Linked DNA regions of Drosophila melanogaster. The gene in region 2 interacts genetically with the main gene of each other region. Each region holds a gene or a part of one and is shown on either strand. Other genes may lie near its edges. The genes, in order: Vap33 and ppk30.

Evidence for each region.
Region 1: of ppk30 (region 2) and Vap33, changing one suppresses a phenotype caused by changing the other (phenotypic suppression), as found in Drosophila melanogaster (one study listed by BioGRID).

The regions. Positions count from the first base shown.
Region 1 is NC_004354.4:3,946,652-3,950,574, reverse strand, and holds the start of Vap33 (VAMP-associated protein 33kDa), read right to left. Parts: upstream 1,601-3,923; 5' UTR 1,203-1,600; intron 1,095-1,202; 5' UTR 926-1,094; coding exon 862-925; intron 1-861. Other genes in the region: Gem4c (gemin 4c), read right to left, coding at 2,472-2,926, 2,986-3,923.
Region 2 is NT_033777.3:29,666,963-29,670,885, reverse strand, and holds the start of ppk30 (pickpocket 30), read right to left. Parts: upstream 1,738-3,923; 5' UTR 1,729-1,737; coding exon 1,613-1,728; intron 1,509-1,612; coding exon 944-1,508; intron 880-943; coding exon 730-879; intron 677-729; coding exon 478-676; intron 416-477; coding exon 179-415; intron 121-178; coding exon 14-120; 3' UTR 1-13. Other genes in the region: ppk20 (pickpocket 20), read left to right, coding at 2,009-2,914, 2,961-3,246, 3,332-3,379, 3,438-3,582, 3,645-3,751, 3,801-3,923.

The DNA.
Region 1 (3,923 bases), on a different chromosome or scaffold from region 2:
AGAATGGGGCTAAGGCTCACTCACACATACACAGATATTAAAATATTTGCGCACAATGGAAGCGATAGCAAAATACTTGAAAAGTTAACTCAATTTTTTTCAATAAGACAAAATACAAATGGTGAATGGTTATTGGTGTATTATTCTAGATCGCAATCAACAATGATTGGTCATTTAAGTAGACATTTCGTTCTGCAATTGAGACTGTGATAAAATTTCGCGAAAAAAATTAAATGTTTATGCACTGGAAAATGCAGCTTGGCAACAGGAGTTCAATAACAATGCGATGACAACCGTGCCACTTGTCGCACCCACTGTGCGAGCTCTTTGCATTGTTTTTGTCACTGCTGCTGTTGCTTTTTGGCCAAAATTCAAGGAGCCAAAAGACAAGAAAAAATTAAAATGGCCCATGACAAGTTTTTGCGTATAAAAATATAATGCTAGCCAAAAACGCGAAACGAGTGAGCAAGAGGGAGAGGGATGGCGAGTGCAAGTGAGAAAGAGAGCGACGCCAGCTGCCGGCATCAAAAAATAAAATACATTAAAGAGCTGAAGCAAAAAAAAAAAAAAGAAAAAAAACGGAAAGAAGCAGAGCGATGATACACGTAGACCCCGAAAAGAACAACAATAAAAGGTGTCGTATGTAAAGGAAGAACAAAAACAACGGAAATTATTGATAGCCAATCGAGCGAGATGGCAATAGAAAGCGTAGAGGGAGGGAGATTAAATGTGCGCGTGAGAGAGAGAAAAAGTGAAACTTGCAGTTTGCTCTTTGCAAGAAATGGGAGGTGAATCGGCTTTTTTGGTCGATATGCAGCGACCTTTCCGCAAAAACGCGAAAATAATGTAAAATAAACTTACCCACAAAACGCAACTCATGTTCTGGTTCAATGGTCAACGGAAGATCAAAGAGTGATTTGCTCATTGTGGCGGCTGGCTTTTGTTGTTGTTGTTGCTGCTGCTCCTGGTGTTGTTCTTGTCGTTGTTGCTGCCGAGAATTTCACTCTCTCCGCTTTTCGCCTCTTATCGTTTTAATTTTATTTTTTGTGCGTCCTGTTTTTGCCCAGCTATTTGTTGTTCTTGCTGGCTGTTTGCTGTTAAGAAAATGCACACAAAATTATATTAAAATGCAGACGCACGCATAGATACGAGACACAGGCACACAACTAAATTAAAAGAGGGATTTCAAATTTTTCGCTTACGTTTGCGTTTTTTAGCCAAATATATCAAGAAAACTGCTGCTGTTTTTATGCCTGTTTCGTTTTACTTTACTCGTCTCTCTTTTTTTCTTTCGTTTTTCGTTCGTTTCGCTCTCACAGGCGAAATATCGGTAAATTTATGCGACCACACACACACGCATGGACAAAAAAAAAGCAAGAGCCAGAGAAACTCACGCACGCACGGGCTTTTTGCAGAAAATTTCGGGAAAAAAACACAACGATCAACGTGCGACTTCTTCACCGACTTTAGGTCGCTTTTCTGTCGATATTTTCGATTTCAGTGGTTTACCACGCTTCGGTTTCTTCGCAAACTTCAGTTGAAAACGCAAAATGTAAAAAAGCCATATATTCTGTCAGCTAGTGATGTGAAAAAAATATCGATGCATCGGGTATCGATATTTTTAGTTTAGCGACTTTTCGATACTTGTCAAGCATTGGTCGTTAAATTACCTTGTAAAATATATATAGTGTTTTTTAAGACAAGATATTTTTTCTATTTTTTTTTATTTAGGTAATTTGAAAATGTTATTAATAACAATTTGCACCAAAATTTTCCTTTCCCTGAATAATGCCATTCAGCTTTTGACAGAATATAAATTAGTTAAATTTATAACATAACGAGTACATGAAATTTAAAAATGTATTAAAATAAATTTTCCTAGTTTTAAGTTACAATTTTGCAACAGGAAGCAAAGCAGTCGAAGTAATACATAAAAATACGAATAAAAATAAGAACATGCAAAATTACAATAATTTTAAGCTTGCCAAAGCATTTATTTAATAGAACACAAATTTGTATTTGATGGTAGTATTACATATTTTATGTAAATATAGTCGGCCTTAAGGACACACAAAGTTGTAAAATAACCTGATATCAAATTATTCTGATGTTCAATCATAGCGTTTTGTATATTATATATATAATACATAATAATACGAAAAAAAAGAACATGCAAAATTTTATTAATTTTCAGCTGAATAACTTCACTTGCTTGCCAAAGTATTTTTAGTAAGACAAAAAATTTGCATGGTAGTGGTACATTTGTTATGTGCATACAGTCGTCCTTTTAAAGGACATACAAAGTTGTAAAATAATCTGATATCAAATTATTCTGATGTTCAATCCTAGCGTTATGAATATTATATATGTTTTTAGTCATATAGAGATCTGACTGCCTAAGAATTAAAGTGTTGGACAAGCGGCGGAGTTTCGATTTGGCTTAAGAAAATTACACTTCTAACAGCATCTCCTTAACACTTGGCCGCCTGCTGTTCCTGGATATTTATGCCGAATCGCACAGCGAAGGCTTTACTAGCTAGCTTCATAATCTCGTTGCGAATGGAGAATGGAGCCTTGGCCACAACGGCCATCAAATGATCCCAATGCTGGCGCTTCGTGATGGTCTTATTGTGTTTGGCGTGGCTCCGGAAGGCGATCAAATATTCTCGAAATAGGAATCTAAAGGCCATGAAAGCGGACTCGCTGTTCACCTTGACCACTGCATCGCTAAGATCGCCCATAACAGCACAATCGGCCCTTTTTTTAAGGAGCTTTTTGAAGAGATCGTTAGCCTCCTGTGCACTGGACTGAGTTAGCAATTTGAGAAAGGAGCGTGTGTCCTTTAAGGTGTCTTCTTTAAGGTAGATGAGCCAAAAGCCCTTGTGCTTTAAACTGTTCACTTGGTTCAAGATCCTCTGGCGGCATTCTGTGAAAGAGCAATAATTAGTAGGCTTTCGTCTTGGACTTACATTTATAAGAGCGCACCAGTGCCTAGGAATGTCAGATGAGACAGACCGTCCTGCCAATACCACACCGCCAGTTCTAAATTATCCACCCGGAAATCTTCAAAGGTGGCCAAGTCCCAGCGTAGGGCATCAATGGTTTTCATGACATGCGAGATCAGCTTCCAGTGTTTCAAACGCCACTCTGGCAAGCTGGCATTCAGATATGTGTAGTGCTTGGCCACCTTGACAGCTGGTGCATCGTCTCCGTTCTCCAATTTCGGGTGCTCCTTTTCGAGTGCATTTAACTCTGCAGTGCCTCGGGTGATTAGATTGCTTTCACCCAGACTAATCTGCTTGAGCAGTTTCAAGATTAACTGCAAGCTGGGCAAGTTCATGGGCTCTATAAACTTGGCCAAACCGTAGGCACACGCGTCTAGGAACCTATTTTGCGCCTGCCTAAGCTCATCCTCTCCGTAGGGACACCGTCCGTCTTTCAAACTAACGCACAGTTGTCGCGCTGACGTGTAGAGACCGTTGAGGATCTGTCGGTGGCCATATAGGTAGAGTGTAAACTGCAAGGCATACGGCTTTTGAAGTAGTTGCTCGTTCACCAAGATGTTATCGGCACAGGCGGAAATATGAAAAGCAGCATGCTTGGGACAAGACTGAGCTATGTGCCAGAATAGCTTCGAGAAGCGAGTATGCGTCACGCCCAAGTGGGAGAAATCAATCCAGGTCTGTCTTGCGTTCTCAAAGCACAGTACTAGAAATTTGGTTATCGGGAAGCGCTTATTATAATCCAATTGATTAAAGAAGCGTATGCGACGCTCCCGATGATCGGGAGCCTTGAAATTAAATCCTTGGGTAACGTTTTGCTCATCGCGCAATAGCAGTACTTCCATCTTGTCCTCGACATTTAATTGCATAAATAAGGGACGCAGTACTAGGCTTAGCAGCTCTTCGTAATCATCGTTGGAC
Region 2 (3,923 bases):
TGCCAGCTTGGGCCTAGGAGCCATGGGGTATGCGACAACAGGCGAAGCGATCCAAGAGTTCGTTGATGCAACCTAGCACCGAGATGCCCATGATCAAACCGGCTATTCCTCCATAGGAAACTACAAGTGAAGGGTAGGGGGTACATGTCATCGCAGCTGTGATTGATCCCAAACTCACCCATTAAGTCGATCAGCGTGAAGCGGAGCATGGAGCGGTAAGAGAAGAGGGTCTCCTCCTGGAAGTACACATCTATCTCGATCGCTGCGGCAAGGTTGGTGTGGGCGCTCATCTTCTCCGTGTAGGTTGACGTGTGGTACTGGGTGTGACCGCACTGAGGAAAGCAACCGCAATCCACGGTGGAGAACACATTATCACGGGACTCTTCGATGATGTTGCTCATGGAAAAGAGGGAAACTAAGCGGAATTCAGTACATATATATCATATATATATGATTTAAGTTTAGAATTAGACCCACGTCGGTGCTGATTGAAGCAGGCCAGATCCTTCACACCGCAAATTCTACGTCCGTTGCTTTCCTTTGCAGCCGCAATGTTGTCCTCATCTTGAGTGGCCTTCACCGGCAGTTCCAAGGAGCAGTTGCACTTGCTGATGATGTAGTTGACGTGGCACTTGTAGATGCACTCCGACCGGGACTTTCCCGTTGGTATCTCATTCTAAGGTAAAATTAAGTTTAAGAGCTAGTATATATTTGGCTAAGGAAACCGACCTCAAAGTAACAACGACGCATTTGAACGGGACGTGCCCGGACATCCAACTCGGCTGTGAAATGAAGTGGTTCCACCGGAACCACGATGCGATCCTCTGAGGAATAGTCAATGCTCATGCCCAGCAACTGGGTCGGTTCGTGCACTATCACCTGGTGTGGTAATTACTCCATGTCATGACGCACTATCTATGTACATATGTCTTATCGGACTCACCCCCATTGTATTCAACGTATACAGACCCTGCTGCCGTTTGATCTTCACATTGAGTCCGCTATATGATCCGCATGAAGCCACGGACCAGGGCCACGTTTCATCTCTTCCCGAGGAGACCAGTGAGTTGAACTCGAAGGCGAAGCCATTGAAGGTCTTGGTGGGTCGGAATAGGTCACAGCAGTTCATCGCCTTGCGACGCCACTGGCACTCGGTGAAGAAGTGCTGGCAGTTCATCTGCAGCGCCTGGTAGATTCCCCAGCTCTGCGCGTTCCAGTTTTCCAGTTCGGAGAACTCCGTGAAGTTCTCATCCGTGAGGCGGGCGGACATCGGTGTTTGCCAGACCACGGACTGAACCAAGTTATAGGCCTTGGAGAGCTTCTCGGCTTTCAGGATGCTCAAATTGATCGGAATGATGGTCACGGCTGGGAAATCGATCTCGGATACATGCATGTCAGTCCTTTCGATGGAGGTCTGCACCCAGTAGTAGAAGTACCGCTCCGAGGAAAGAATGCTCACATACACGGTGGCCAGAGCGGCCATTATTTTAAGGGGGATTCTGGCGTATCTATAGATTAAAAAAAAACCGAATTTCATGGATTACTTTTGGAACACAAGAGATTATGCACGGCCAGAGTCATGGATATTTTTGGAGCGAAGGGTATCACTTACCGCCTGGTCGAAGCCCATCCACCTGCCCCCTCCTTCTTCAGCTTTTTTTTTGACTCCTTGTGGTCATCATCATTATCCTCGGAGGAGGGTTCTGGCTTCCAGGCGGTGGCACTCATTTCACTCAGCGGACGAACTGCGACTGTGGGAAAATCGCGCTAATTGGTAGTTCGATCCGCTAATCAATGCGCAGACAACCACTTCTGTCAGCGGGCTTATCAAATGGCAGGAAACATAACTACTCAATTACAAAGCTTGTGAGCCATAATGGATGGCCTGGCCGTCGGAACTTTGTCCCCTCACATACAATTACAAGTCACCTGGCCTTTGGAACGTGGCCTTAAAAGGGATCCCCGAATTCCGGCCAAAAGCTCAGTGATTGAGTGACTCGTCACCGGAATGGCCAAGGGAGATAATTCGGTCAAACCGACAGAGGCAGCCGGTTTTGGTGACAACGAGAGGTGCCTCGCGGATTTGTTAAAGGTCCACTTTCGGAGCTACTGCGAGAAGTCCACCATTCACTGCGTTCGCTATCTGTACGATTCCCACCTGCATAACTTGGAGAGGTTTGTGGTTTATCCTCTATTCATATCTACATTCAATTTTAAATTGTATATAATCATTGTATTTAGAATCATCTGGTCGATGCTGCTCATCATTAGCATCGGGCTGTCCTTCTTTTTCTACCTCCTGCTCTCCGAGCGATTCGTTTCCCAGAAGCTGCAGACGGTGGTCCACGATCCGCAGTTCCCCGTGTTTCTGGTGCCATTTCCGGCCGTGGGAATCTGCACGGACAACCGCATCAACTGGAACAAGCTGGAGGCGGCCAAGGAGCAGTTCCTGCCGACCAATGCCAGCGTGGAACTGGTCGAAAGTTTCACCGTCCTTGTTTCTCGGATGGAAACTTTGCGCTTTGGCAGTTACCTTTCAAGCTTGGCCGAGCTGGAGGACGATAACCTGGAGGCGGTGGGCTTTGTGAACCTAACTGAGCTGGCCATATTTATGACTCTTCAATGCTCGGATATCATGGTACCGAAATCCTGCCTGTGGCGCAGTTCCTCCTTCAATTGCTGCGAATACTTCGTGTTGGAGAAGACGGAGTTTGGATTTTGTTTGGTTTTCAACTCGGAGGTTTCGCCACGCTCCAAGGCAATTAAGCAGAAGGAGGGTAATAACTTCTATCCGAGGCACAATGCCAAAGCAGGCCAGAGTACGGGCTTGAATTTTGATCTAATCTTAAACGAGAGCTTCAGGCGACCCGATTCGCAGGCGAATAATAATGTCTACGTAAGTATCTGCCAGGCCGTAGAATATTACTAGATTAAACCATTTTCAGGTTATGATTAAGAAGCCCGACCAACTGAACAATGTCGTATATTCAATAACCCAAAACACGGAGACCTACGTGACTGTCCGTCCGGGTCTCACTTGGACGGATAACACCACGCGCAGTATCCCGCCGGAGCGCAGGAACTGCCTCTTCGCGGACGAGCAGGGCGAACTGGACGCCAACGATTCGGCCAAGAACTTTGGAAAGCCCTTCCAGCTCTCCAACTGTCTCAACCGCTGCCATGAGTCCTACCTAATTCAGCTCTGCAACTGCTCCTTGCCCATTTTCTTCCTGTACAACCACAGAGGTAAGTCTAATTACTCTTTTCTTAAAAAATATAATATGATTATGATGTGATTATTATATAATATAGTCCCAATATTTTCTTTCAGTTCCGGATTGCAACGCAGTCAGCCTGCGCTGCCTTGCGCGTCACAATGGTAGGAGATACATATAAGGGAATAAATTAATTCTGGAAATAAAACCCATCTGTTGCAGACATCTTCAGCTACGACAAGCGAAGGGACGAGGATGCCCTTTTCAGTGCCACCAAGCTGGGAATGACCTGTTCCTGCTTGGTGGACTGCTACCTGCTCGACTATTATACTTCCACCACCACACTGCCTTTGTCAGCCCATAAACTGTATGAAACTTGAATGGAACCCTTCTTTGATTTCTTGAGATATCTGAAACCATTCTTTGCAGACCCAAGGATCCGCATCAGAAACTCTTCAGGGTGGATGTGCACTACCAAGTGGAGACCACACCTTTGTATCGCACAAGCCTGGAGTTTACCATTATCGATCTAATTGGTAAGAGATTCAGCATGGCGAACCACTCATATATCTCGTATATTCGCAGCCAATCTGGGTGGAATCTTTGGACTTTGCTTGGGTGCTTCTATGGTCAGTGCCTTCGAGTTGATCTACTACCTTACTGTGGGACTTGCTATGCATCTATATGACCACCAGTACTATGGGGTCT